Linked DNA regions of Tamandua tetradactyla. The protein of the gene in region 1 purifies or fractionates together with the protein of each later gene. This does not show direct contact. Links are inferred from orthologs where the notes say so. Each region holds a gene or a part of one and is shown in the gene's direction. Other genes may lie near its edges.

Evidence for each region.
Region 2: the proteins of NPC1 (region 1) and PON2 purify together in Homo sapiens (affinity purification with mass spectrometry; 3 studies listed by BioGRID and IntAct, with this or other methods). This does not show direct contact. The link is inferred for Tamandua tetradactyla from reciprocal best matches to the Homo sapiens genes NPC1 and PON2.

The regions. Positions count from the first base shown.
Region 1 is NC_135344.1:59,857,389-59,873,004, forward strand, and holds the start of NPC1 (NPC intracellular cholesterol transporter 1), read left to right. Parts: upstream 1-9,178; 5' UTR 9,179-9,301; coding exon 9,302-9,364; intron 9,365-15,616. UniProt on the Homo sapiens protein: Intracellular cholesterol transporter which acts in concert with NPC2 and plays an important role in the egress of cholesterol from the endosomal/lysosomal compartment.
Region 2 is NC_135327.1:120,444,373-120,459,901, forward strand, and holds the start of PON2 (serum paraoxonase/arylesterase 2), read left to right. Parts: upstream 1-9,510; 5' UTR 9,511-9,607; coding exon 9,608-9,681; intron 9,682-15,529. UniProt on the Homo sapiens protein: Capable of hydrolyzing lactones and a number of aromatic carboxylic acid esters. Has antioxidant activity. Is not associated with high density lipoprotein.

The DNA.
Region 1 (15,616 bases):
ACCCTGCCCTTCCAGGTGAATTTGGTTATTGGTTTTTCTATTTCTGAAAAGTAAGTTTTTTGGGATTTTAATTGGTATTGCATTGAACCTGTAAATCAATTTAGGTAGAATTGACATCTTAACTATCTTTAGTCTTCCAATCCATGAACACGGAGATACCTGCATTTTGAGTTGGGCAGATTGTAGGGGTGAGAAACTAAACTCCTAATTTCATAACAAGGTGATTTGGTGCTAGAACTAAACAGATGAGGAATCTACAGATTATTAACAACAATAAAAACAGAACATTTGTTTAGAAAGTGTGATGGGTCAAGAATTTCACATATACAATCTCATAAAATGTATATGTATTTTCTCAATTACTGGTGATAATAACCATAGAAAATAACTATTGTTATCCTTATCTTACAGCTTTGCTTTGTTTAGTGAGGATGGGGACAGTGGTCTCCAGATGGAGTCACAGTTTTAGTATCACAGCAGTGAAGGTGGAGAATATAGGACATATTTTTTTTAATTTGTAGAGGTAGAACTAATAATAATTGATGACTAATTGAATATAGAAATTACAGAAAAGAGAGTTAAGGACCCCTTTAAGGTGTCAGAGTGCCCCAAACCACTCCCAGTTTTGATGATAATGCTGGAAGGACTCACAGGACTCATCATATAGTTGTATTCATGGCTAAGATGACGGCAGAAGGATACAAAGCAAAATCTGTTAAGAGAAAAGGAGTGAGGGTAGAGAAAAATGAATTCAAGTTTCCAGAAGTCCTCTCCCATTGCATTTGTACAGGATGTGCTTAATTTCCATAGTAATGACTTGTGACAACACATGCAAAGTGTTGTCGCCTAGGAAAGCTCATTCGAGACTCAGTGCCCAAGGTTTTTATTGGGAGCCACTCACATAGACACCCTCGACCTATTAGCTACCAAAATTCCAGACTTTCAGAGGGAAAGCAGATATTCAGCACAAACCACATTGTTTGTACAAACAGTTTAGGCACATTTACGGCAAGTTTTATATCAGTGCTGAGAACTGTTTGCCAGCCAAGTTCCCGGATAGGTGGACCTTTCTAAGAAGAGTAGTCTCAGACCAAAATGATTACTCTTTTCTGAACATAAGACTTACATGGTGGATGATGCCATATCTATGGTAGGACATAGGGAAGAATAGAAAATTTGGGAGGAGATAGAGATTTTGGACATGTTCAGTTTGAAGAATCTATGAAATATTAAAAAGAGGTGTTGTCTCGGAGGCAGTTGGAAGTAACAGCTTCATGTTAAGGACCAGGCTGTTGTTATTAAAGTGGAAGTCATCTATTTAGAGACAATAGCTGTGTTAGTTAGATTCAGTTGTCAACTTGGCCAGGTGAGCATACCTAATCTTGTTGCTGCAGACATAAGCCAATGGTACGTGAACCTCATCTGTTGCCAATTACATCTGCAGTCGGCTAGGAGGTGTGTCTGCTGCAATGAGTGACGTTTGACTTAATTGGCTGGTGCTTAAATGAGAGAACAATGTAGCACAGCCTAAGCAGCTCAGCATTCCTCATCTCAGCACTAGCAGCTCAGCCCAGGCCTTTGGAGATGCAGAAAGAAGTCACCCTGGGGAAAGTTGTTGGAACCCAGGGGCCTGGAAAGAAGACCAGCAGAGACCATCCTGTGCCTTCCACGTAAGAAAGAACCTCAGTGGAAAGTTAGCTGCCTTTCCTCTGAAGAACCAACAAAATAAATCCCCTTTTATTAAAAGCCAATCCGTCTCTGGTGTGTTGCATTCCGGCAGCTAGCAAACCAGAACAATAGCCAAAGTCATAGGGTGGATGAGGTCCCCCAGGGAGGCTCCAGTGGAAGAAAAGAGGTGTTAAACTGATGAAGAAACTTTCAAGGAAGAAGGGAACTCAGCAAAAGAGATGAGATGAAATGGACAGTCCATGGGAAATGTAAATCAAGTGAGGAAAAGTTTCGAGAGGATTGGACAAGCCCCAGAAGAAATGTAAGCATATAACATAATGGCAGAGACTTCTTTTGCTCCACAGTGCTGTCCTTGGTGAACCTGTTCAGTCTTCAAAGAACTTTGACCCTGTGACAGGGAGAATATGGATCAATGACTGGTCAGGGCCTAGGGTGACATTAAATTAAAATAAATAGTTTTCTTGAAATGACTCTAGTTATATTTGGAGAATTGTATTTGTGAAACCACTTCTGAGATTTTCTAGGAATCATTGACAGCTATCAGAATTCGTGGCGCCTTGTATGTCCCCAAGATTGAGGCAATATCAAAGTGATTACTTTGTGCCACCAATGGGAATGCAAAATATGTGTGGTACAAAGTGGATAGTCCTGTAAGTAAATGTTTTACTATCTTCATACTTAAATGAGAGAAAATATATTCATCTCTGCTGGTTCATTGGTTTTAATTTGTGAATCTTATCTCCCTATGAAAAAATGCTAAAAATTAGTCCGGGAGAGCCATATTATTGCCCAGCCATGACCAGTGCAATGCCATATTCTGATTCTTCAAACCATATATCCGACATCAGTTCGTAATTTTGTAACTTGCTTGTGATTCAAAATGTGGAGGAAAATCACACACACACTGTGCTGGTTTGAAATTATGTATGTCCCCTAGAAAAGCCATGTTTTAATCACAATCCCATTTCATCAAGGTAGAATAATCCCTATTCAATACTGTATGTTTGAGACTATAATCAGATCATCTCCCTGGATGATGTGATTTAGTCAATAGTGGTTGTTAAACTAGATTAGGTGACAACATGTCTCCACCCATTTGGGTGGGTCTTGACTGGTTTATTGGAGTCCTATAAAAGAGGAAACGTTTAGGAGAATGGAAGATTCACAGAGAGCAGAGAAGAATGACATAGCCACAAGAAGTAGAGAGCCCACAAACCAGTGACCTTTGGAGATGAAGAAGGAAAATGCCTCCCCGGAGTGTCATGTTTCATGAATATGAGAGAAAGCTAGCAGATGACACCTTGCTCGCCACATGCCCTTCCAGCTGAGAGAGAAGCCCTGACTGTGTTCACCATTTGCCCTTCCAGATAAGAGAGAAACTCTGACTGTGTTCACCATGTGCCTTCTCATTTGAGAGAGAAATCCTGAACTTCATCGACCTTCTTGAACCAAGGTACCTTTCCCTGGATGGATGCCTTTGATTGGACATTTCTATAGACTTGTTTTAACGGGGACATTTTCTCAGCCTTAGAACTGTAAACTAGCAACTTATTAAATTCCCCCTTTTAAAAGCCATTCCGTTTCTGGTATATCGCGTTCCAGCAGCTAGCAAACTAGAACACACACACAAAAAGTTATATACTCTATGAACAAAAATTAGAATAATTTTCATTCTCCTCTATCCTAAGAAGTGTCCAGCCTACCTCTTTACTCTGTTTAACTTACTGAACACAATGAGGTAAAACAGTAATGCCAATAAAAATATTTTCTCTAGGCTCTCTGATTATACTTGACTTTCAGTTAAATAATTTATGTATTAGTGGGTCTGGGAAGTTTTAGAAATTTTTCCTGGTGCCCCTACCCTTATTTATAGCAGTATTTTAAACAAGATCATTTAAAAAATACTCGTGAAGTCATGTTTTAACAACTGAAGGAACTTACTAAAAATCTTCAATTCTTAGATGCAATGTCAACGATTTCTTTGTCAACGAAATGAATCACTTCCTCTATTTTTGGTTCTTTTGTTTCTTTTTCCCTCCCTCTCTAGGATTTAATCCTCTGATCTTTAAAGAGGGAAATGCTGGTATTATCCCTACTCCAATTTACTAGGAGCAGGACTCCCGACTTTAGGAAAGGGTAGACCAAAAATCACCCTGGGGCAAACAAAACTGTGACAAGTGACAGAAGTCCTACAGAGAAGGGACTATCAGCTTGAACCACTGATTGTTAAGCTGCAAATTATTGCCACATCTAAGTGGAAGTTACACTGCAACCCATGACTGAATTAATCATTAACTCATGTATGCTTAGTTGGGTGACTAACATTTCATCCTAAATCTGACCAACAATGCACCATTTCTGACTCAGTTGTAACCACTGGCCCTAAGTTGTATCATGGGTTGTAACTGTAAACTATTTTAAATGATGTCTGTAAAATTCACTTAAGTATGTGATTTTTTGCTTAAAGGGTAAAGAATTTCTGTTTGGGTGATGGAAAAGTTTTGGTAATGGTTGGTGGTGATAGTAGCACAACATTGTGAATGCACCACTAAATTATAAACTCAATAAAGTCAAAATTTATAAACATAAAAATATGTTACTAGAATAAAAATTTTTTTAAAAATGATAGAACCGTACAACAAAATGAACCTTGATGCAACCTATGGACTATAGGTAACAGTACAATTAAAATAATATCATTTAATCATTATAGCAAAGTTACTACACTAAAGCAAAGGGTTAAGAATAGGGAAAACTTGGGGGGATATGGGGGAACTCTGTATTTTCTGAATGATTTTTCTATAAACCTACAACTTCTCCAATAAAAAAATTAAGTCTGTTACAGAACCTAAAAGACCTGAGTGCATATGTCAAAAAAATCCATATACAAGAATGTTCATAGCAACTTTATTCATAATAGTCAAAACTGTCCACCAAAGAATATTTACAGCATGAAATACTGCTCAGCAATAAAAAAGATGAGCTACTGCTATGTGCAGTGTAGATGAATGTCATAGGCATGATTTTGAGAGAAAGAAGAGGTAATGTAGAATACAATGAGAATATATAGTATGCTTCCATTTACGTGAAGTTTAAGAACTGTCAAAATCAATCCATGGCAATTGTGGCTCAGTGGCAGAATTCTTGCCTGCAGTGATGGAGACCCGGATTCGATTCCTGGAGCCTGCTCATGCCAAAATAATAATAATAATAATAATAATAAGCCATGCTCATATAAGTCAGAATATTGGTTATATTTGGTGGTGTTGGGGTGATGATATTGACTGGGAAAGGGCATGAGGAAAATTTGGAGTGCCGGAATGTTCTTTATTCTCATCTAGGTGGTGGTTACGAGTCTCCAAAATGACCCCAGTGATCCCCTCTTCCCCATATCCTAGCCCTGGTGTGGTTCCCTCCCACACTGTTTCAGGACTGATCTGGGTAACCATAGACTATGACAGACATGATGGCATGTCACTTGTGAGGTTCAGTATTGCTTTTTCTTGGACCACTTACTCTGAGTTCTGTCCATGCCAGTTGCCATGTCTCGAGGACACTCAAGCAATGTATGGAGAGGCCCACGTAGCCAGGAACTGAAGCCTGCTGCCCAGAGCCACATGAGGTCTCTTGGAAGCGGCTCCTCTAGTTCCCGTGAAGCCTTAGAAAATAGTAGCCTGGACCAACATCATGATAACAACCTCAGGAGAAAGCCTGACCCAGGACCACCCAGATTCTTGGCTGAAATAAGCAGTGAGACAATAAATGTTCATTCTTTTAATCCACTAAGGTATGGGGTAATTTGTTATGCAGCAATAGATAACTAATACAAGTATATAAAAACTCACTGAGCGATACATGTAAGATTTGCACAGTTTATATATACATATATATATATTATACATATATATATACATATATAAACTTTATTATACATAATTTAAAATTATATATATATAATTAAAAAGTTTTTAAGAAGAGTGAAATCTACTACAAAAAAGAAGTATACAAAAATGTTCAACCTGAAACTCCCTAGGGGTCTAGCAGAAGCATTAATTCAAAGTTTCCTATATTTCATCAAAATATTTTGGCTTCTTTGTAGACTGACAGAGCTGGCCACCTATTCCTGTTCCCTGTAGTCAGCAGGACACCCTCCTGTCTACAGATAGTTCTTTATATCCAGCTCTAGCTATGGTCCTAGACCCAGTACCTTTCATTGAGCAGACCATCAGCAAAACTTACAATACCTGTGAATACTACGGGTAGTTCTAGGACATTAGCAGAAAAGCAGGGCCAAGTTCTCCATTAACCACATTAGGCACAGCGCTTACAGCCCAAGATACTTTATCGGGTTTTAATTTTTAATTTATTTTAAAAGAAAAAGAAAAATGAGTATGTAATAATAATATATAATAATGAATATGACATGGATTATGCTTATCTTTATACCAATGCAATTGTAAAATAATTTTTTTTTTGTTTGTGGAGTTAGGGATTCATGAAGGCAAAGGTGCCTAGGGTCCATGGAAGTCCTACTGTGATTCTGAGCAAAAGGAAGGGAAAAGTGGAAACAAAAATAAGCAAAATGAAGTGATGCTAGGTCCATCATTCATGGATGTTGCTCAGATGTGGCCTCTCTCTCCAGCCAACACAACAAGTAAACTCACTGCCCTCCCCCTATCTATATGGGACATGATTCCCATGGGTGTGGACCTTCCTGGCAACGTGGAACAGAAATTCTAGAATGAGTTGAGACTCAGCATCAAAGGATTGAGAAAACCTTCTCGACCAAAAGGTGGAAGAGTGAAAAAAGACAAAATAAAGTGTCAATGGCTGAGAGATTCCAAACAGAGTCGAGAGGTTATCCTGGAGGTTATTCTTCTGCACTAAATAGATATTACCTTGATAGTCAAGATGTAATGGAGAGGGAACTGCCTGAAAATGTAGAGCTGTGTTTCAGTAGCAATGTTTCTTGATGGTGATTGTATAATGATATAGCTTTCACAATGTGACTGTGTGATTGTGAAAACCTTGTATCTGATGCTCCTTTTATCTACTTCATCAACAGATGAGTAAAACATATGGAATAAAAATAAATAATAGGGGGAACAAATGTTAAAAGAAATTTAGATTGAAATGCTAGTGATCAATAAAAGGGAGGGGTAAGGAGTATGTATGTATGAATTTTTTCCTGTTGTCTTTTTATTTCTTTTTCTGAATCGATGGAAATGTTCTAAGAAATGATCATGATGATGAATACGCAACTATGTGATGATTTTGTGACTTATTGATTACATATGCAGAATGGAATGATCATAAAAAAAGAGAAAGAAAAACTGAAACCTTTGTATGTAGCCAAACTACATAAGTTAAATTAAAAATAAAACTTAAAAACCCTGGAGGAGAAAAAAACAAACCCAAGTGCGTGGGTCCATCCTCAGAGACTCAGATTCTGCAGCTCTGGCATGGAGCTCCCAGCAGACACTGAGGCTACTTGTCCAGTAACCACACTGTGAAAACCACTGCATTAGAGCATACTGCTTATCACCATCGACAACTACCAAGCATACATTCAGGTGAGGGTTAGGAAGTTCCAGATATTGACGGAAGAGCTAGCTAGGTTGAAGGTCCAGAGGTGTTCTAGTTTGCTAGCTGCTGGAATGCAACACACCAGAAACAGATTGGCTTTTAATAAAAGGGGATTTATTTTGTTAGTTCTTCAGAGGAAAGGCAGCTAACTTTCAACTGAGGTTCTTTCTTACATGGGAAGACACAGGATGGTCTCTGCTGGCCTTCTCTCCAGGCCTCTGGGTTCCAACAACTTTCCCCGGGGTGATTTCTTTCTGCATCTCCAAAGGCCTGGGCTGAGCTGCAAGTGCTGAGATGAGGAATGCTGCGCTCCTTGGGCTGTGCTACATTGAGCTCTCTCATTTAAGCACCAGCCAATTAAGTAAAAATCATTCATTGCAGGAGGCACGCCTCCTAGCCAACTGCAGATGTAATGAGCAATAAGTGAGGTTCACGTACCACTGGCTCTTGTCCACAGCAACAGAACTAAGTGCCTTCACTTGGCCAAGTTGACAACTGACTCCAACTACAACAAGAGGGAATCCCTGTAGTTTCATTGCAAGCAGGTAGGTGGCCTCCCCAAGGCTGAGGAGGTAAAGATGCAAGAAAGAAACTGAAACACACTCTCTAGAGTAGTGACGGGAACTATCACAATCGTCACCTGCATCATAGCCCTACCCATGGCTGGGTTTGGTGGATATTTACAGGTGAATATTTAGTCTTTTCATTCTAAACTGGCTTCCACTGTTGGGACAAGAAATTTGTAACTTCAAAATGGAAATGACCTATGATTTGGCATGTTTTGAAGAGTTGAAATCTGAGTGAAAAGTTTATCAGAAATGCATACTATAAAAATAAATGCAAGAAATATGAGAGGAATGTACGGTAGCCCATGCCAAACTCTGGAATCTATCCTGTAACCACTTCTTGAAGAGTGCTTTAAAAACTATTGCTTTTTTATTTCTCTGCTTTGTGTGTGTGTGTATATATATATATATACTATACAATAAAAAAATTTTAAAAAATAAGTGCAAGGCAAAATAATACTAAGTACAAAACTCGAAAACGAAGACGCCTCTTAATTTTTGTACTACTTGACTTCACCTGCAGTTTAAAAACGGACTCTGGGGTGGGCCACGGTGGCTCAGTGGGCAAGAATACTTGCCTACCATGCCAGAGGACCTGGGTTCAATTCCCAGTGCATGCCCATAAAAAAAAAAAAAAAAATGGACTCTGGGTCAAATTCTACGAGGTGGGGAAGGTCCCCTGCTCCGCACTGCTTGACCAGCAGATGGCGCCCTTCTAGCGCTTTCTCCGAACGTGGCCCAGCCCCTTTAAACCCAAGTCGGGTGGACGCAGGGCAGCACCGCTTCCGCGCTCCGCCCCTCGCGCGCTTGGATCGCCGCAAGGTCAGGTCACTGCGCGTCGCCGCCCCGAGCTTTGCTTGAGGATATCCTGGCACAGATTCCTTTTGGGTAACTGGGTTTGAGAGGAGAAATTGCTCGGAGTGTGTATTTGGGCCGGAATAAACTCATAATTCGCTGAAGAAGGGGTTCTTAATTGGGAAGACACGTCTCCAAATACTCGTATTTGCTAAAATCTTCTCGCCCACCCTCTCCAACCAGGGGGCGCAAAAGGGGGTAAATGAGTTAAAGCACAGAAACCGCATGCTGTTGGCACAACTCAAGCGGTTCACAGCCACAGCTCTGGGAGTCCCTATCCCACGCCACGACCCTGCGCGAAAACGGCAGGGTCGGGCCGGGGAGATAGCGCTCTGCCAGAGACAGAACTGCCCGCCTCCGCCCGGCGCCGCCCGCCCCGCCAGGCCCCGCCCCATCCCGCCAGCCTGCGCTGGGTGTTAGCCCTTGGCGTCCCTGCAGCGGCACCGCCCAGAAGTAGGAGGAGCCCGTGACGCGTTCTTCCTTCCTGACTTGCGCGCGCAGCTCGCTGTTGCCGGTCGGAGTTCCCTCTGTCCACCCGCGCCGGGTCCTAAAACTGAACGGGGACTTGAGGCGGCAGCCGACGCCCGCAGCCTCGGCCCGGCAGCATGAGGGCGTGCGGCTCAGCCCCCGGCCTCGTCCTGCTCCTGCTCTACTTCTGTCCCGTGCAGGTGAGCGGCCACGGCGCCCCGGGAGGGCTGTGGGGGGCTGTGGCGGGGCCTGAGTCGGAAAGGCCGGGGGCCGTGCCCGGGCCGAGCAGCAGCCAGACGTCCCCGTTCCCAGACGTGGCGCGCGTCTCGAGCGGTGGGATCCGGGAAGTTGGTCTACCTCTGGGTCCCCGGAGGTCCCCACTCTCCGGCTTCTGACCCGGGCAACGCTTTCCTCTCTGTAGTCCGCCAGAGAGTAAAGTGGGGTCTGCTTGTGTGGCCTGCTTCGTTTCAGCTGTGGCCACCTCGTTTCTGAGTGTTGGATTTGGGATTAGAAGGAAGGAAGGAAGGTGGGTGGATTTATTACCCTGCCTTTTTTTTTTCTTTTCCTTCTTTCTTTGTAAATTGTGACACATGCCCACGAACTCTGTACAGTTGTTGAGAAGATCCGACCACTTCATTTTCCTTTTCCTTGCCAGAGGATGGATGGGGGGGAAGGGAAGGCAAGGAAAAAACAAAACCAAATTGGTCAAGCACGAAGTTGTAACAGTCCTAAGAACTTGACATTAGTCAATTGGTCTTCCAAAGAGTGCGTACGAAAAAGTTCGTATCAACTCCTTTTTATGTCTCTGGAAACCGAGGCCCAGAGGAGGGTAATTGAGTTTCCCATCTCCCCCATGTAATTAGGGTGTGTCCCGGAACTCGGGTGTCCTGATTCCCTGGGCTGGCTTTTGTTTAGAGTAGGCATGAGTAGGTGGTCATGAGTGCCTCACCTCTATTTGTGTGTCTACAGTTTCTTAAAACCGGGGCATGGGGAAGCTGTAAGGGTGTGCTGATTACAGGCAACTCTGGGGCTCGCCTACCTATTAAGCCCTTCACATAAAAGTGTCAACAATGAGAGGGCCAGTGGATCAGAGGGGAAGGCAGAGAAGGTGTTTCCCTGGACTAGAAAAACCTCCCCTTAAACTTCTGTTATATGGGTCTCAGAAGGGGATAGAGGAGGCTCACCCCATAAGGGTCCCAGAGCTGGGAGTAGAGGAGTGGCCCTCCTCTTTGTGGGTCCCCAGCAGTGCGGGTTGTGGAATAGCACGCCTCTGGTAGTAGATGAACCCAGGGGCACCTGGCTAGGACAGGAGGCAGAGGAAAGCAGGTTTCACTGGCTCTGTCATTTTGGGCAAATGACTCAGCCTCAGTTTCTGCTGAGCATAAATGATGCCTTATAGGGTTATTGGAGTTATTAAATGACATGACATATAGAGAGACCTTGTCACTGTGCCTTACATTATAAAAATTCAGCAAATAGTGGCAATAATGTGTTTTAAAGAAAATACAGCTATTCAGCTTCCACAGAACTTTAGATAAGTTCTGTGTGGTAGACAGGCTTCACCTTATTAAGAAGCTTTATTTTATCGCTGAAATCCTTTTATCTTAAGGTATCCCAGGCTGTTGGCAGCTGAGTGCCTCTCCTCCTAGGACATTTGGGATAGGTCAGAAGTTAGTCATGAGTCTCTTGCAAAATGCCTGTAAGGCTTTTCAGGGTCTCTAAATCTTAACTGGAAGCACTCCGGTTATTTGTTTTTAAAGTTTGCTCCCTCGTTGCTGCAGAGACTTTCTGTACACATGAACAGGTGGATGGAAACCTTGGAGAAGAGTGGATCAGGAAGGGGTGTTTGCGTTTAGCAGCTCACCTGATTGCAATCTGAGTGCTGTTAACAGTCAGTCATGGAATTGCAGACTGACTGTCCATCTCAAGGTCTGAGATTCATTTGGGGGGAATTTTTACTTTCTTAAATGTTTAACAGTTGGTGAAGTAGCATTACCAGGCTGCGTGGCTTTTAAACCTTGTGGTCATCTAAATACTGTGTGCAGTCTTGAGAAATAGTGTATATTTCTCCTGACTAATTTTTATTAGCTTTTCTTGAGGAACTTGGAACATAGGGAGGCCTGGGTAGAAACTTAGCTATTAAAATGGCTTTTCCTGAGGAGGTCAGGAATGGGTTTGCCTTTGGACTTGGGTGAGTTGAACAACCATATGAAATTAGAGTGAAGTTCATGCTTTGCTTGGATCTTTTGCTAACATAAATAAGTAAAAGTAATCAGAGGGAAATGGGGCTTTTTATTTTAGCGGGTGGGCAAAGAGAAAAGGACTTGCAGAATAGGTCTTTGTGTTCCTTCAATGTTTGTCACATTATCCGGAACAAAGAATCCCTCTGGTCCTGAAGACAATGTGATCTCTGTTTCGTGGGTAACCCTTCCCTACCCTCCACTTTCCCAAAAGGGTGTTTAAGAATGTTCCATTACCTGCAGCTGAAGCTCAGATGAAGATATCTCTAATCTGGTCTCAGGAGGCCCTTCACCCACAGCTCTGGGAAGGGTGTCAATCACCAGCCAAACTAAACTACCGGATTATCTATGCTTGGCAGGCTAAATTGGATGAGGTTTCACCGGATGTTCCACTTGGCCAGGAAGGCATGTCATTCAGGACCTGTTCCTGGATCCAGTGTGGCTTCTCCAATAGCCGATAGATCAGGGATGGAATTGGCCTCCTGACCTGACCTATGGGTTCTGTTGCCACACTGTGTGAACATTCCATAGGCAAAAGCCATGGACAGTATATACTGACATCCACTCTCACGGTTTTGTTTTAGTCTTTTGGTTTTTTGGGTTATTTTTGAAACTTGTGGGTGGTGGAGCTCCTAAGTGACCTTGGGCTAGTCACTTAAAGAAACTGTTAGAGGGGTTATCTGTAAAATGACGATGTGGCCTAGTTGAGCCCATCCTATGTAAACACCCAAATACAGGTGAGCCAAAAGCACCTGCAGGTACCTTTGCTATGTGGGTGTGTTCACACTCGGTTGGCTGTAAAACAGGTACAGAGAGTTCCATCAAATAGAAGTCAAACTACTCTGGTATTCACCCCAGATCTCCTGCTAAATTTGTTGGTCTGCCTACCTGACTCCAGATGAAACAGCAGGCAGCTTATATTCTGGGCATGATTGCCCATGTCACTCCCTCTGACTGTCCAGGCCGGCTCTCTGCTTGCTCCTGGGGCACTGGGGAGCAGAGTCAGCCAGAAGCCTTCTCTCCCTCTCTTGCTCCCTGGAGCTTGAACTGGGTGTGTCTCCAGGTTCCACCATTAGCTTTACCCATGCAGGACACCTGCAGGAGAAAGGAGGAGACCCCAGCCCTGCGCATCCCCACCTGTGGTGGGACAGCAGACTACAGGCCAGGGCTTGAGGACTGCCAGTGGTGCTTAGCCTAGATGTACTTTAAAAAATGTAAATGCTAGTCATTTTTACAAGTGACAAATATGCATAGAAAAAAGGGGATGCTTAGTAGGCTCAGAGTGAATAGGACTGCTGGTCTCTAATTCATTATCAAATCTGAGGATAATCAGTATACAAACTGGAGTGAAGTTTGAATGGTGCAGTGGCTAGGGCACGTGTGGTGGTGGACAAGGGAGATGAGGTGGAAACCATTTAACTTCGCATTCAAAAGTCTTGATTCTCATTACTAGTTCTGTCATTTTTGAGCCATGTGACCTCAGGATGTCGTCTCTGAGCCTTAATTTCCTTACCTGTAAAATACTGTGGTACTGCTTACTCCATTGAGTGTCAGAAATAAATGAGAAATCACATAATGTTGATTTCAGGAAGTATTTAAGCATTTGGGTTCCTGCTTTAGCAGGATTCACTAAAGGCAGTCTGGGGTGTAGGATCCTTTTGCTGATGTTCAGAACTTCTCCATGTGGTAATATATGTTTCTTATAGAGTCTAATTTAGAGATTGCTATGGTTGCTAACATATAGCAGAAGAGAAAGTTTTTAACCTTCCCTGAACTATTCCTATTATTTGCTTTCCTATCCAGACACACCCAATAAACTCGAGAGCATGTTGTGAAATATCTACATGACCTAACCTTTAAAAGTAGGCACACTCTAGCCTTGTAACTACTAAGTTCTGTGCTAAAGCCCAAACAACCAACAGTTCTCATTTCTGAACTTCTTATTTAATTCAGTTGAACTCCTATAACTCGTGCATTTTGATGGTTTCTCAATCAATAAACATTGGATGAAGTTCTATAGGAAGTTTACATCCTGATCTCTGTCCTTTAAGAGTTTATGGTCTTACTGCAGAGTCAAGATGAAAGCAAGAAAATATTGTTGCAACCTCTTCCCAGTCCATTAACAACTTTGTGATTCTCTTAAACCTAAATTGGGCTTAGTCCTAGAGCAGGAGCCTGTGTATGAGTCAAATTTAGTTGGGCCATTCCTGGCCCCACTCATCTACCTATTTTCTCTGGCTATTTTTGAGCCACAACAGGTGGGGACAGATTTGAGTATTTGCAGCAGAGACCTATGGCCTTCAAGCCTATAATTTAATACTTGGCCTTCTAAGAAAAAGTCCTTTTGGTGGGTCCACAAAGAAGCTTGAGGAGTTGTTTTAATTTCCTGGCACCACAAATACCATGCAATGGGTTAGTTTAAACAACAGAAATTTATTGGCTCATGATTTTGAAGCTAGGATAAGTCCAGAATCAAGGTGTCTTCCAGGTGTTCTTTCTCCCAGAAGAGTGTAGTGTTCTGGGACTGGCTACTTGTGATTCTTGGTCATTGGCTTTTCTGTCATGTAGCAGTGCACATGGTGGCCTCTCCTGACTTCTCTGGATTCCATTGACTTCGGCTTCTTCTTGTGGCTTTTTTTCCTCTCTGTGTCTGAATTGTATTCTGCTTATAAAGGACTGCAGTAAGAGGGTGAAGACATGTCCTGATTCAGTTAGGCCACATCTTAACTGAAGTAACCTCATCAAAAGGTCCTATTTACAAGGGTTCACAGTCACAGGAATGGGCTAAGAACATCATTTGTGGGGTACATAGCTTCAGGCCACCACAGGAGCATAAGGGACAGAACCAGATGCCGCCCACCCGAGCCTGTAGACACAGCGTCTTGCTGGCTGGAGCAGTGAGGAAGGATCCTCTGGAGCTCCAGCTTCACTCAAGGCTCTGCCATGTGCTGCCAGGAGTGGCCCTGGCTTTCCTCTCAAGGACAGAAACGTGTGTTCTGAATATCACTGAGAAAGGGGGTGAGTGGCAGAGAAGCCAGTGGGGAGGATCTTCAGTCTTATTTCATGTATGTCTGTGGTGTTTGAATAAAGTGATATAGAAAAGGGTATCTGTAATTATTTATTTACAACATTTTAAGGATTGGAAAAAATAAAAATAAAAAGATGTGTTTATATGCTGTTGTTTTTAACTTTTTTATTGTATAATTTAACATGTATGTTGCTTAGGAATAAAAAAATTTAAAAAAAAGAATTGGCAAGAATTAAATATGTTTCTTGTGGTTATGAATAGCTCTGTAAGATTGGTAAATGTGCTGGTTTGAAACTATTATGTACCCCAGAAAAGCCATGTTCTGTTAATCCAGTCTTGTAGGGTCAGACCTATTAATGGGTAGGACCTTTTGATTAGATGAAGATGTGATTCTGCCCATTCAGAGTGGGTCTTAATTAGCTTATTGGAGTCCTTAAAAGTGCTCATGGAGAGAGAAAGAGCCCAGGGCAGCACAGAAAGCAGATGCTTAGACACAGACATTTGGAGATACAGAAGGAAAACCCCCGGCAGAAGCCAGAAGGATGCACAGGAGCTGAGAGAGCCGCTTAAAACCATCCCAGGAGAGCCAGCACAGTTGCCAGGGACCTTCTCACGTGATGGAGGAACCTGGGTGCTGCCTTTCCTCTGAAATGGCATCCTCTTGTTGGTGCCTTAATTTGGACATTTTCATGGCCTTGGAATTTTAATTTGTAACTTAATAATTCTCTTTACAACAGTCAATCAATTTCTGGTATAGTTCATTCTGGCAGCTTTAGCGAACTGAAACAGTAAGTGACCATGAGATGTACTCTGAAGGATTGTTATCACTATTTGGACTTGAGCCCACAGATACTTAAATGGGGCTTTAACAAAGACAAATTATTAGAGGCTCTGGGTTTGTCATGTGACACTTAGATCCATAATCTTTGATCTGATTTGAGCTGATAACCATTCTTATTTGTTTAATTTGAGAATGAGACCTGAGAGCATGTTTTCTGCAGTCCCTGACACTGGCCTTGCCTGTTACATGGCAGCGGGCTTCTGAGCTCATGTTTTTGATTAGATATGCATTTTGGCTATGGCAGACTCAAATATTGTTGGATTTTATTTCAGTCTTGGGCATACTTCCTTCCTCAAGTGAATCTTAATCAGTATTACATATCAGCCCCAAAGGATTCCTTGTA
Region 2 (15,529 bases), on another chromosome or scaffold:
TGTTGCTGTAAAGGAGAGCAGAGAAATGAGATGATACCTAGAGGGAAAAGTGGGGTCCAGGAGTTTTTCTATTCAAAAGCTCAGAAACTGCAGTTGGAAATTGTTATTGGGAATGACACAATAAAGAAGAAAAAATTGACGATGTAGGAGAAAGTGGAGACCCGAGTGATGTTCTCAGGTGGACTAGAGAAATCTGAATATGGTGTTCAAATGGTAAAATTGACCTCAGTAGTATTCAAGACAGAGGTTGAATATAGGGGCCCAAATGCAAGCAGGGGTTCACATGATGAGAGGAGCATCAGGAAGTCTTTTGACTACATCTATTTTTTGGTAAAATAGGGAGCCAAGTTATCAGCTGAGAGTGAAAATGGAGATTTTAGAGTGGGAGAATGAGTAGACTAGTGAAATGTTTGGGGCTAGTGATCAAGAAATTTAAACAGTACCAGTCAATATAGTTATATGTTTTCTCCAGCAAAATTCGCTGTACAAGGGCACATATAGGGAAACCCAGATTTAACCAGGGTTGGGAGTTTTACCGAGAAAGTAAAGAGGAAGCAAGGGAACTGAGATACATTAAGTGAGTGACTCTAACGCTTTATCATGGAATCTGAGCTGGATAATGGAAGAATTAAGCCAAATTTAGCTTTTGCACAAGGTGATGCAGGCAGGGAAAGGGGAGGGCCTCTGACCCACGCTTAGAACTGGTGCCAAATCCTTAATGGCCAGGGTCATTAAAATGTAAAACATAATCAAAGGGGGATCCTTCGGCAGAAGTTCAAATTAATTAGATTATCTGGATAGGCTGTAACCTCTGGAGCATACAATCAGCAGAGAAACAGGGGAGGGTCTGTGTGCTGGTTTGAAAGGATGTATGGACCCTAGAAAAGCCATGTTTTAATCAAAATCCCATTTCATAAAGGCAGAATAATCCCTATTCAATACTGTATGTTTGAAACTGTAATCAGATCATCTCCCTGGAGATGTGATTAAATCAAGAGTGGTTATTAAACTGGATTAGGTGATGACATGTCTCCACCCATTTGGGTGGGTCCTGATAATTTTCTGGAGTGCTATAAAAGAGAAAACATTTTGGAGAATGAAGGAGATTCAAAGAGAGCAGAGAGTGGTGCAGCACCATGAAGCAGAGCATCAGTCAGTGCTTTGGAGATGAAGAAGGAAAACACCTGCCGAGGAGCTTCATGAGACAGGAAGCCAGGAGAGAAAGCTAGCAGATGACGCTGTGCTCACCATGTGCCCTTCCAGATGAGGGAAAAACCATGACTGTGTTCACCATGCACTTTTTAGATGAGAGAAACCCTGAATTTCATCGGCCTCCTTGAACCAAGGTATCTTTCCCTGGAGGATACCTTTGATTGAACATTTCTATGGACTTGTTTTAATTGGACATTTTCTCGACCTCAGAACTATAAACTAGCAACTCACTAAATTCCCTTTTTTAAAAGCTGTTCCGTTTCTGGTATATTACATCCTGGCAGCTAGCAAACTAGAACAATCTGCAAGCCAGGCACCGGTATAATCATTTCGGCGTTCTATTTTTTGGTATGCCAGCCACCATTTTGTGTTTGTCTAGGCTGCCCATTTTTGCAAGATTGTGAATAAATTCTTGTCACCATCACAATCGGATGAGCATTTGTTCTCCTTCAGGTACAGCGTTCTTCCTAACAGATAAGGTGGGAAGAGAAAACAGATAGGGATGAGTGACAGTGAACAGGTGGTGAATTAGTGGACTGCAGGTCAAGTAATTTTTGAAGGTGAAGTACACTTCAGAGTATAAACTAAAAAGATAAGAGGTGATGATTTTGGAAAATGGGATCTTGAAATTGAGATTTTGGAGGGGTGGGTGGTGACAAAGTTATTGGAGAAAAAGAGGAAAAGAGGTCATGCAGTGGAAGCTAGGTATGGAAAGGTTCGAGATATGGATGTTGAAATCTCCAAGAATTTTGACACTGTAGTAAATGAGAGTGTTTATGAGCCAAGACCTAGAATAATCAAGGTCAATGGGGAAAAACGATCCTCAGGGTGAGGGCATCAATAGATAACATAAAAACTTTAAGAGAATTTTCAAAGAAAACATTGAGGATATTGAAGATATAAGTGATTTTGTTAATGACTAAACAACTTTGGGAGTTGGAAACTGGAAAAGGTTTTTGGAGTTGTGGTGGAGAAGTGGGAGATGGGAAAAAGTCTCAAGCCATAGAGGCATGAGGGTCTGGAGGGTGAGGGTTGACGAAAGTTTTCTTGTGGGGACTGCAAAAAATAGTGATAAAGGGCCTAATGAGATGACACATATACTGGAGATGAGGCAGTGAGTGTTGGAAAGGAGCACACGTTCTAGGGCTTTCTTGGCACTCTTGACAATAAAGGCAGAGAAGCTGTAAGAGGGCGGGACATACGCTAGGCACACACAAGTAACTCTGCAGATATCTTTTCAGCCCATCCCCCACTCTCATCTTCCATTTGTTTCCAGGCTCTGTCGAGAGATGTCAAATAGCTTTCATTCCCCATGGAAAGCTAGTGACTGCATGGAACACTGCAGTGTGAAGAATTTCAAGACCACACATTCAGAGTCAGGAGAGAGGGGAGATGGCTGCATCAGTGCCAATGTCTGCTTCTCCTAGTTTAGGGTGAGTCCTAAAACTCAATTCAATTCCTAGTTCTCCATCCTACCTTTCATGTTTCAAGCCGTCTCCTAGTCACTTATATTTTTATGATGGTTTCAGGACATTATCTGTACTACTTTTCTTAAGGCCCAACTTCAAACTTTCTTGAAGGTCATCTACTCAGCTTGCTGAGTTCTGGGCCAATGATTCCCAACTCTCCATTTCCAGATAAAACTTCATTCTTGAGCATTAAAAACTTGTCTTTTGGACTTTGAGCACATCAAATATGTATTCCAAAATGTAGTCATCATTCTCAGGGGAAAAGCTCACAGCTAGTTCACTCTCATTCACTCATTTGATCAACCCAAGTGTATGAGTTAGGGTTCTTTAGAGAAACAGAATCAAGAGGGAATACTTGCAAATATAAAATTTATAAAAATGTCTCACGTGACTGCAGGAATGCAGAGTCCAAAATCCACAGGGCAGGCTGTGAAACTGACGACTCCAATGGAGGGTCTGGATGAACTTCACAGGAGAGGCTCACCAGCTGAAGCAGGAATGGAACCTGTCTCCTCTGAATCCTCCTTAAAAGGCTTCCCGTGATTAGATTAAGCATCACACATTGTAGAAGACACTCCCCTTTGGCTGATTACAAATGGAATCAGCTGTGGATGCAGCTGACGTGATCATGATCTAGTTCTATGAAATGTCCTCATCGCAACAGACAAGCCAGCACTTGCCCAACCAGAGAAACAGGTACCACAACTTGGCCAAGTTGACACATGTACCTGACCATGACACCAAGTCATCTTCAATGCCTCCTTTCCCCCACAACATATCAGTCACCCTTTTCTATTAATTCCAACTCTGAAATTCCTTAAATCTGTTTCCTTTTCTCCTTCCCTGCTGCCTCTGCCTTGTTCACATCTGTACCTTTTCTCTGGTTGACTTGGAAAATAGATTTTACAATCCACCACACAGCAATCAGATTTATCTGTGTAAAATACAAATGTTTTCTCTTCCTTGAGGTCTTAGCGGCTCTACAACACACGCAGGATAAAGAATAAAGTTCTTAGCCCTGACACACAACACTGCATATGTTTGTCCAGGTGCTCATCTCTCTCAGCAGACGGCAGTAGACTATGATGGCTGTCAAGGTAGGAAATGTAAACCTCCATTATCACTGAATTATCAGTAACTATTTGGAAACACAGGATATATGCAATAAATGATAAGTGAATTAAAGCAAGTAGGCAGAGAAAAAGTATAAGAAGCAAATAAGTTTAGACTATCTCTTGTGAAAATGTACATGAGATCATTTTCCAAAACTCTTACTATCAGCTCATTCATTTCTGCTCTTACCAGGGATAGCAAAGGATTAAAAATCTGTTTATTTGACAATTAACAAAAGATGTATCAAGGGTGGGGATAGGGTCTGGGCATACATTTTTTTAATATTGGATCCTAGATTTAGCATTTTCCATTTTCCAGGAAAATTTTCTGCACTTCTTTTTTTAAACAGAAGTGTGATGGTAAATTACTTAATCTGTGGCTTAAATTTCCTTACTTGTAATTGTAAATGTAAAGTATATGGAATAGAAGTGCCCCATAATTAATAGTTGTGATAGTTACTTCAACTGGCCCTTCATTAAGCCCAGTAGCTTCTGAAAGGGGATGCACATATGGTTCATTAATAGAAAACTAGAAACAATTTTGCTATTAGACAATAAAAATAAAACCATGCTTGGATTTCTTAGAATAGGGCTCAGGCCATACAGATGGAGATATGGAATTCCTGTCTCTGGTCTCCCTGCTTCTTCTCCTTCCCAGCCTTTTCTATCCCTCTGTCCTCTCCTCCTAGGATTCTGTTGCCCTTTGGAGAAAGGCAGCAAAGTTCTGTGGCCCTCTGTGGAAACAGGCTTAGGTCGAGTGAGGACAGGAGGGCTATCTGATCTAGACTTCGAATTCACAAAGAGCCTTCAAGGCTGACTTTCAACATTATCTCAGATTTTGTTAATTAATATGTCATAGAAATACATTTACGGGACTGAAAAATCATATTCATTTAAAATTTGAGTTCCATGACTTGTCTCCTTCTCTAGTGAGCCAGGAAAAAATATTTTTTTATAAACTGCATATTTTTATGACTAGCACATTATAGCATATTTTATTTTTGTGTGTAATAGGTTGAACCATTTGAAATTGTTGATTTTTTTTGGGGGGGGGGGCGGAATGCATCGTCCAGAAATTGAACCCAGGTGTCCTGCATAGGTGAGCATTTTACAACTGAATCACCTGTGTACCACTGATATTTGTTTCTGACCTCTACAAACAATTTCATATGGTTCAGGTTGAACTATGTAAATAGTTTAAAATATAGAACCATTTCTTCTACTTCTGTTACAGCATTTCTTCACTGTCTTAATATACTGGGATTCTCAGAAAATGGCTTGGCTGATGGGGGTGAGGGGAATCGCCTTCATTCTTGGAGCAGTCCCAGAGCACAGCATCTACAAGAAAACTCATTCTCTTGCTGAAAACAACCATCTCTTATAACATATCTTCAATGCATTTTTGTGTTGAAAGAGCTACTTCTTTTTTAAACAGAAGAATGAAGAACTAGGAATAAAGGGGATATTGGAGAGACCTCCATCACATATTATATAAAATGACAATAATCACATCACCTACTTCACAAAATTACCATGAACATTACATGTGATCATACACTGCAAGGAACCTTAAAGAGTTAAAGGTACAATCACAAAATCCAATGCCACTTAAAGTGTGGTCTAAGAACCATTTTCGGTCTGTGAAGCCTTTATTTCTGTGAGATAAGTATGAAAAATTGACAGTAAGTGTCTAGGAAGTGTAATAGAAATTTGACAAAGTAATTTCATGTCTGTTATATCAAATAATAAAGAATCCGAAAATCTGGAATTGTATTTTGTAGGTCAGATTTTGTATTTCATTCTATAGTAATTTATTTTCATTGTATTGTTCAAAGGTGATAGACTAGGAATGAAGAAAAACTGGTCTTTCACTACTGATAGTATGAGAAGCCTTGATCTATGGCTATTTCTGAAATTTTGCTTAAGATTCATTAAATTCATAATGATAAACTAGTCTTAATTTTTATTTTTGAAACCCTGTTTCATGCCAGTATTTCATACCATCTGGTAACATGCCAGCATACAAACAGTTTCCAGAACAAGTCTGCTCTGTATTGAGTAACTTGGTTATTTGGTAGTCAGCACTCATTTTCCTCATAAAATAACTTAGGGTTATATCCTTGGCATAGCTTGTAAATCCAAGTTATCTCAAAAGATTGCTAAGCTATACTACAAAATTTAATAACTAACTATAATATTCTTATGATGGAAAAGATAGGCCTCTGATTTGCAACTCAGAAAATCTCTCTTTCCCATTGCCTGTGAGAAATGATGGTTCCTGGACCTAACATGGGAGTGGGAGCAAGGATGGAACTACTTCTGTAGAAGTTGCTTCAGTAGCAAAATCAAGTAGAAGAGTATGGGGGAATTAGAAGGTCAAGTGTGAGGGAATTCACTGGCCATGTTAATAAAATTAAAAAGAGAGTACTCTGAGATTCTCTAAGATTGAAATTAGGCAGGTTTTGCTGGATTCAAAACCCTGACTCTTTATTGCAACTGCCTCCATGTGCTAAACTTCAGGACAATGGGCTCCTTGAGTGACCCAGCACCAAGATGTCAGATGGACTTCATTCTGAATTGAGGGCTGTCAGCAACTATCTTGAGGGTTTTATTTGTCTTTTACTTTTTTTTTTTAAAGATAAGGTAAGGACAATTCTGGGGTTAGTAAAAATATTGCTCTGATCAATTAGCGATGTCTATCATGGGCAAGGGAAGAAGGGAAGGCCAACAAAAGAGCTGTTCTTTTGCTATCCTGCATCGAGTCTGAAAGGTGCAAACTTTCAACCCTTTCATTTCTGTATTACAGCAGAGACCAGGAGGAATTAGGAAGAACATGACTCTTCCGAAAATTTAGGAAAAAACAAAAGATGTGAAGGAATGTGAAGGAATAAAGAAAAAATATATAATAGGGAAACTTACCTGTTAAGATTGAGACAGGTATAATAAGTGAGTACATCTGAAAGTTGCTAATGGTTTTCAGTTTTTATAATATATAGGCAGAAATGGCCACAGACAATACATAGAGAATCCCACACAATTTGGTCATCTTATTTTCTTATTTACAAGCTAAGGTTTTCTCACTTTGTGGCACATGTGAGGAGGCATCTGATCTGGTTCCTGACCTAGTTTCCATGAGCCAGAGATTTTTTTCCTTGGCTCTACCTTGGAAAACTTGGGAACAAGACTCTCAGACATAAGAAAGAAGGCCACGCAATAGTCCCGGGCCCAGTGTTTTAGATCCTCATTCTAAATATGGAGTCCATATGTAAGGGTCTTCTCTTCTTCAATTATTGACACCAAAAATATCCCTAGTGAGAAGATCCCACTACAGTACCTACAAAAGCATAGATAATCTTACCCTATGGTGGGGTTCTTAATCCAAGTAGTCTATGGACAGAATTCAGGGGAAGTTTAAGAAATTGGATAAGAAAAAAATAGGCCTTTATTTTCAAGTGTAACTTAGCTTTTTTTCTTCATTTATGAAGGTTAGGCACCAAACTGCAGAAGCATTAGCAGCATTCGTGACTTTGCTACTAATGGAAATGATAGCTATTTTCATTATTACATTGCAGTTGTTGCAGATATCTCAGGATAACATTTACACTGGTCACTGTTTGAAGATGATGCTATTTAATGTGTTAATAGTGTAGCACACATATTACTATCAGCACAAATTTGTTTTAAATATTTTCACAATCGCATTTCAACCTCAGCGATATCCTTTACAATCCGATGTATTTGATTGGATGCACACAATAATATACATTATTATGAAAAAATATCTGTAGGTTTACCAGACTGCCAGAGCAGTCCAAAATACAAGAAAATTAAAGCTCCTGCCTATCTACCATCCAACATAACACAATATTCCTTGGGTCTGAATCAGAAATACATAAATGCAGAAGCACTGGGGTCAGTTTCGGGGGGGATGGGTCTGGAGGTAGGGCAGAGGAGATGAGAAACTGGCAACTGATTTCATTTACTGGTTGCCCATAAAAGCCACAGTTTATTCTGAATTTATAATTGTCTGTGGCCATTTCTGCCTATATATTATAAAAACTGAAAACCATTAGCAACTAATAAGTGAGATGTACTCACTTATTATAACTGTCTCAATCTTAACAGGTAAGATTCCCTATTATATGTTTTTTTCTTTATTCCTTCATATTATTATTGTTAAAGAAAAAAAATCTACCTTCATTTCTGTAAGCTGAGTTTGGATCAAAAAGAACTTAGGTTTCTAGTTCAAAAGAAATATTACTAGAAACATGATTTTTCTTTCCTCCCATTTATATGTTGTTATGCAGAGTTGCAATTTCAGTGTGAAATGTTTTAAGACATGTTCCAGTTTCCTTCTCCTATAATAAAAAAAAGGATCTTTATAACTTTACTCTAACCGTATCTCATATCACATACAAAAATCAACTCAAAATAGATTAATGACCTAAATGTAAGAGCTAAAAGCATAAAGTAGTTAGACAAAAACAGGAAAACCTTCATAGAGTCTCAGATACAACAGCAAAGCATAAGCCACAAAAGAATATAAAGAAAAATTCTAATTCTTTTATTTTAACATCTAGAATATATAGAGAACGATAACTGAACAACAAAAAGACAATCCATTTTAAAAATTTGGGGGACATTTCCCCCCAAAATGGATACAAATGGCCAACAAGCACATGAAAAGAAGTTCAGCATCATTAGCCTCAGGGAAATGTAAATCAAAATCACAACGATATGACACTTCGCTCCTACTAGGATAACTACTATTTTTAAAAAGAACACTAAAATGTTGGATAGCATACAGGGAAATTGGAATTCCCAGATGCACTGGTGGTAATGTTTTCCCCAGCCACTGGGGAAAACAGTTTGGAGGTTCCTCAGGAAGTTAAACATAGATTTACCAGGTGCCAGCAATTCCAGTCCTAAGTATATACCTAAAAGAATTGAAAGCAGGGACTCCCACAGATCACTGTACACCAATGCTCATAGCCAAAAAGTTGAAACAGCCCAAGTGCCCATTAAGAGATAAATGATAAAATACAGTGTATACATACAATGAGACACTATACGGCTGTAAAAAGCATTGAAGTTCTGATGCCTGCCACTACATGGACCGATCTCGAAAACATTAAGCTAAGTTAAATAAACCAAATACAAAAGGATACATATTGAATGATTCCACTTATTTGAAATATCTAAAATAATCAAATTCAGAGACAGAAAGCAGATTACAGGTTACCAGGACCAGGGTGGGGGTGGGTGAAGTTGGGGACTAGGGAGTTTCTGTTTAGTGGGATGAAAGTTTTGATATTGGATGAAGATGATGATGACAGAAACACAACATCATAAAGGTAATTAATGCCACTGAACTGAATTTTAACCATTAAAAATGGTTAAAATAGTAAATGTAATTGTTGTATTACCACAAAAAGTAAATTAATTAAAAAAACCTTTATTCTAGACTGTGCTTAACCGACTGGACTAAGGTTTCTCCTTGAAGATTAGGGAATTGACAGAGGTACACAGGCTGCTTCAGGGTTGTGAGTAGTTTGAGAAAGGAGGTGAAAGAATTGTTTCACACCGGCAGCCTAAAGAAAGGCCCTGGGAGACCGTTTCCCCTCCCGGGAAAGTATCTAGGGAAATAGGTCTCTGGTGAAATGGCCAAGGGCCAGGCCCAGGGCGGAGCCTGGCCGCTGGGAGACGGAGCCCGGCTGGGGCCGGAGATGGGGCGGAGCCGGCCGGCCAAGCGAGAAGGGGCCGCCACCCACAGTGCTCCCGGGCTGGGCGATCGGCGCTCCCAGCTCTTGCGCCATGGGACGGCTGGTGGCTCTGGGTCTCCTGGGTATAGCGCTGACGCTCCTGGGGGAGAGGTTCTTGGCGCTCAGGTAGGTGGGACCGTCTCGGACCGAGCCTTGGGGCGCGCTGGGCGCCTGGATGCTCCTTCCCGGGAGCTTCCCCAGGCCTGAGTCCTCGGTTTGGGGAAGGGGAAGGGAAGACCTTCGGGGCAGCGGGTGGTGAGCGCTCAGATGGGTGGAGGACTATTCTCCCCGCTCGGGAACCGCGGCGAGAGGTGAGGAACTTTCGATTGCTCTGTGCACCAGCTTGTTGAACACTCCCACCTCCAGCTTCTGGTAAAACTAGCAAAGTTTGGGCCGAATCTCGTGATATTTTATAAAGTTTATAACTCTTGACCACTTGCAAAGTTCCTTTCTGCCCGGGACAACCTAGTGTTTTGGAATTATCCAGGAGCAAACCCGGTGCTTTAATTGGAAAACAAAAGTATTACTCACGCATCGAAACTTTAATTTCTTTCAGGTCATTGGTGCTGCTTTTCTTTGTTGCCCAAATCGGCGCCAGTCCTTAATAAAGTTGTTTTGCATCCTTTTCCTCTTAGTTTGAGATTCTCCTGCTCTCTAATCTCGGCGCTGTAGATCAAAAACCTTTGAGATATTCAGCTACTGTTGTTACATCACTTCTTTATTTATCTATTCAATCCGGAGGCCTGAGTCCAAAATGCCAGTTTAAGCATTCCTAGGAGATATTGGAGTTTTAGTTAAAAGGAAAAATCGCTGGTGGATATACATATTTTTGAAATCACTAACTTAAATTTGATGAGCCTCAAGCAAACGAATTCAAGAAATATTGAGCCACCCAATTGTACATAAAGTGCTCTCATAGGTTCCTGTAGTACAGGAAGACACTAACTTTACTTTTAAGAAGTTTACTGTATTATAGGGGAGGAGAAAAATAAACAAATATAGTATAAATTGGGATGTCCAGACAGGTACAGAAGAACCCGTGTAGGCCTAAAAAGGAGAGATTACATCCTACAGTCACAGTTCAGGAGACAGAACAAGTCATTTGACATTGGCCTTAAAGGATGGTTGAAGCACTCATATGTGGGGATGAAAGAAGTCATTCCAGGTGGAAAGTGCAGCATGAGCAAAGGCAGTAAGAGGTTTGGAGACTAGCAAATAGACCAATCCGAGGGGAGAATAAAGTTAGAGATGAGAATCATAGGGGTTGGGGGAAGGATAGGTTCTGAGGCTGTTCAATTTAGGTTAAAAAATGGGGCCTACTTTTTTTTTTGATAGGCAAAAGGGAACCTGGGATATGTATATATCAACAGAAATTTGAGCCTGGGAGGATGGATTGGAGTAGAGGCCTCAATCCTAACCTTAGGATCTCCTGGAGAGCCGATTCTGATTCCATTGGCCTGGCTGAGGCCCACACAGTGGTGATTTTTATTTTTAAAACCTCTACTGATAATTCTAATGTCTAGCTACAGGGAAACTAGTTAAGGTTTTAAAATAGTTTGGAAAGGGTAACAGGGGCCCAAACTTTGAAACCTCAGAGATGAGAAGCAGTCCTGATAAAGCAATACAAGGTGAAAGAACGGTGCATGACGGGGGGCAGATTTGGGGAGGCGGAGCAGTGAAGGGACAGAGACAAAGTTTTTTTGGTAGGAAATGGACACATTGACCCTCATTTTCATGTTATGTAGATGTCCATCCTGCTCTGCAGAACATTCTTGAGTTAGATGATTTCATATGATCTGTTTAGCCCTCAGTTTCAAAGGCAGGACCAACAAAATTCACAAACCCACAAAGTTGTCACTAATATTCAAACTACCAATGCTTCATCAAGTTGGAGTTTTCATAATTAAGTCTTTTCTTCTTCTTAATCTTAAGATTTTAAACGTGTCGTTTTGAATGACAAATATTGCAAACCTAAGGAAAAGCAAAAAAAGTTTATTGACATAGGACCTTATTGACTTAGGTACTGACACACCTAGCATACCTTATGCAATTTATAATTTGACACATATTTTCCTTATAAAAGACATGGACATATGATAAACTTTACAGGACAGTTACTTTTGGGGCAGTAACCAATGGGTAGTAGAGCCCATATTGGCTGATGTGAGTATGTTGGTATGGGCATAGGATTGCCAGCTTTAGCAAATAAAAATCCAGGATGCCCAGTTAAATTTGAATTTCAGATAAACAATGAATGCTTTTTGTATAAGTACGTCTCATGGAATATTTGGGACATACTTGTACTAAAAATATATTTATCATTTGTCTAAAATTCAAACTAACTGGTGCCTCTGTTTTTAGAGCTAAATGAAGATAGTCATGTGATTGAGGAATATTGAGTGCCAACTGTTTTCAAAGTGCAGTGGACTGCTCAAAGGTACAATATGTCTTCTCTCAGAACCTTAGAGTCTATTTGGAAAAACACAATGTTCCCACTGCCCTGTAAGGCAAGGCTGTCAGAGGAACAGGAAGGAATAGAGGCATTTTGATGTTATTTTCATGCTAATCTAATGTTTATGATTTCACTGTTCTATTTTTAAAGATGGTACTTTATCACTCAGGTTATAGTCCCAGGTAGAAAAATGTAATCAAAGTTGTCTTTTTCTTTCTAAACTGTTGCTGGCTAATGTTTCCAGGGGAAGATGGCATAGCAGACCCACTGTTTCCACTCTTCCCTAGTTGAACAATAAAGGAGAAAGTGGGGGAAAAAAATATTGCCAGTTCAGGTACTCTGTGTTGCAAGATATATGGCTTCAAGTGAAGATGTGGGTGTTGTCAGAGACTCTCTTAAAGATGGGTAAGGAACCTTAAAAACAAGTGTCTGAACATTCCGCTTGATGACTAAGACCCTTTAAGACTGCTCCCTTAAGAGACAGTTCAGACTGTATTTGAACATCTCTGAAGGGGCAGCCTTTCTTCTTTCCTAACCACTAGCCTCCTTTATTGTGTAAATATTATGTACAGTGTACTGCACAAAAGGTGTAAAAATTGCTTTAATTAAACCAAAATGTGCATTTCCTGCCATTTGGAAAGAAAGTCACCTTGTATATATGCCTTCATTTAGTCTACATAAACTTCTTCCTTCTTGTATTATAGATGTAAAAACTGGAGGCTTGGAGAGGTTAAACAGGTAGTCCAACAGGTTTTAGTACCTGGTCTTTGGATTCCAAGTACAGTTTGCCCCAGTTCTGCCACACCCTGCTTTCTTCTCCGCCATTGGAACGACATTTCTCCAGCTTTCCATGCCTGAGCCTACATTATTAATTACTTAATGCAGGATTTACAGGGATCCAAGGAGTAAATTCCAAGGAGTTTTACAAAGTCTGTCTCTAAAAGATAAAACTTTTTCTTTAAAAGCTAAATTTTTTTTTGCTTAAATGTACATAATAAAATGGATATAATAAAATAAAATAAAAGTATAATAAAAGTCTACATAAAAGATAAAGCCCTTGCTTATAAGGATTTCATAATCTACATATTCCAACCCATTAGTTGTTTGTGAACCCAAAGGCAGTGAGATATGGAACAAAGTAATGTGTAGTGGTAATGCCGTGCTCCCAGCCTGCTGAAGGCATGTTGGCACCACAGCCTGGTGCCCCTCACTGGTACCAGCTGGGCTACAAGGTGGTAACTAACAGCCCCAGAGAAGAACACTTGTCTCATTTCACTCTGAAAGGGGGATGCTGTTTCCTAAGTGAAAAAGATAGAGAGTGAGTCACGTAAATGATTGTTGGTTCATGCTTTGTGGTCAGACAGTCTGAATTCATTTCCTTAGCTCCACTGTTTATGAGATCCGGGGCTTGTTATTTCATCTTTCTGTGCGTCAGTGTCCTAATCTTTAATATGGGGATAATAAAACCACCTGCTCCATAGTGGGATTGTGAGAAATAAATTAGTTCATTTGTGCAAAGTGCTTAGATCAATGCCAGGCACACAGTAAGGGTCCAATAAAAGTTCCCTTTGATGACTGTGATGTTCAGGTAACAATCCTTAACTGCTGGGGCCATGGACCCCTTTGAAGTCTGGTGACACTCTGACTCTTTCTCAGCATAATGTTTATAATGCAAAAAAAATGAAATACATGACTAGAGCTAAAACTTATATGATCAAACTATTTTTAAAATCTAATTATGATATGTGTTTCTTTATGAGAGTACTAAATGGATCTAGAGGTAGGTTTATACCTAGCAGTAGATATTTTGAAGTTGTGATAAGTGTAAATGTTATTTTGAGATATCTACAATAACTGAAATGTTATATAAAAATATCTGTGATTTCTCTTGGTGACAGAATGACAGGTGCTGCTAATAGTGCTATGATCTGTTGCCCACATTCATTATCAGAGGAAATACAGTTAGAGGTTAGCATAAAGATGTATTTTTCCCCAGTTCAAGTTCATGGAGCTCAAAATTCTATCAGTGAACCCCTTGAAAATCAGTGAACCCTAAGTTAAGAACACTGATGTGCATGTGTCCTGTGGGGGGTAGGGAGTGGGGGCGGGGGTGCTCATTTCGGGAATGATTACTGGCAATCAGTGAAGGAAGCTGGTATACACTCTTTCCTATATTATACATACTATATAATTGTAACTAAAAAGTACTTAACAGAATTGTAAAAATAGAGAGGCAGAGAGAAAAATTGAAGGAACCTAGAACAGAGAAAGCAAGCAGTTTTCTTCTTGAGTGCCGATTTTAATAGGTAGGTAAGTTTACCTGGAACATTGTGACTGAGGCTGGCTCTAGGTTAAAGGGAAAGAGGGCTGTGATTGATTAATGATGTCTGTCTGCACGATAGCACCGTGGCAACAGCTATGCCGTTTCTGACCTGGTACATTTATAGACCCTATAAACATTCAGAGTTAGGGAGAAAGTAGACTGAAGCAGAAGTAAAAAGATTTTCCTCCTCGCATATCATCACGTATTGATGTTTATAATATTTATCTTACTACTTGTCTGTGTATGTGTGACAGTATTTTTAGACTTACTGATATGCTAGCCCAAAGAGGTTTATTTAGCTTTCTCTTGTATATTCCCTAAACTCCTTGAATGTGTTACCAATTAGAAATGTTCTGAGCTTCAAGTAACACAAGCAAATTAATGGTGGCTTAAAAAAATAAGAGTTTATTTTTCTCGCATGAAAATAAAAATCCAGGATGCCCAGTTAAATTTGAATTTCAGATAAACAATGAATGGTTTTTGTATAAGTATGTCTCATGGAATATTTGGGACATACTTGTACTAAAAATATATTTACCATTTGTCTAAAATTCAAATTAACTGGTGCCTCTGTTTTTAGAGCTGAATGAAGATAGTCATGTGATTGAGGAATATTGAGTGCCAACTGTTTTCAAAGTGCAGTGGACTGCTCAAAGGTACGATATGTCTTCAACCTATATAAAATAATTCTGTAGGTTGGTCATTCTAGGGCTTGTTCAATGAATCGGGTCATGTCAAGGAACTGGCTTCCTTGATCTTTCACTGTTTGCTTTATATCCTTTATTCTTGCCATGTCCAGGTTGCAAAATGGCCACGGTAGCCCCCAAGCTTTTAGCGCTCCTCTTGGATCTGCCTATTCTACCGGGAACAAAAATATCTTTCCCAAAAGCCTAGATCGTAGGCTTACCCCTAAATGCAAAGGAGCTAGATAAGCAAATGTTTGGCTTGCCCATCGCTATAAAGGGAAGCAGTAAGGGAGGAAGGGGGATGAAAATGACTTTATGTTTGTCAGTCAGCAGACTTGGCCAACCTGGAATGCAGAAATTCACTAATGAACAGGGAACCAATAGTTCTACCAGGCCAAAAGCCTAGCACTTTTCTGCTGAAGAAATTTGAAATTCCTAATGGACAAAGAATGAGAGCAAAATCCTCTCTCCTTTTTTTTTTTTTAAATCATAAAAAAAAGCCAAGAAAAGATG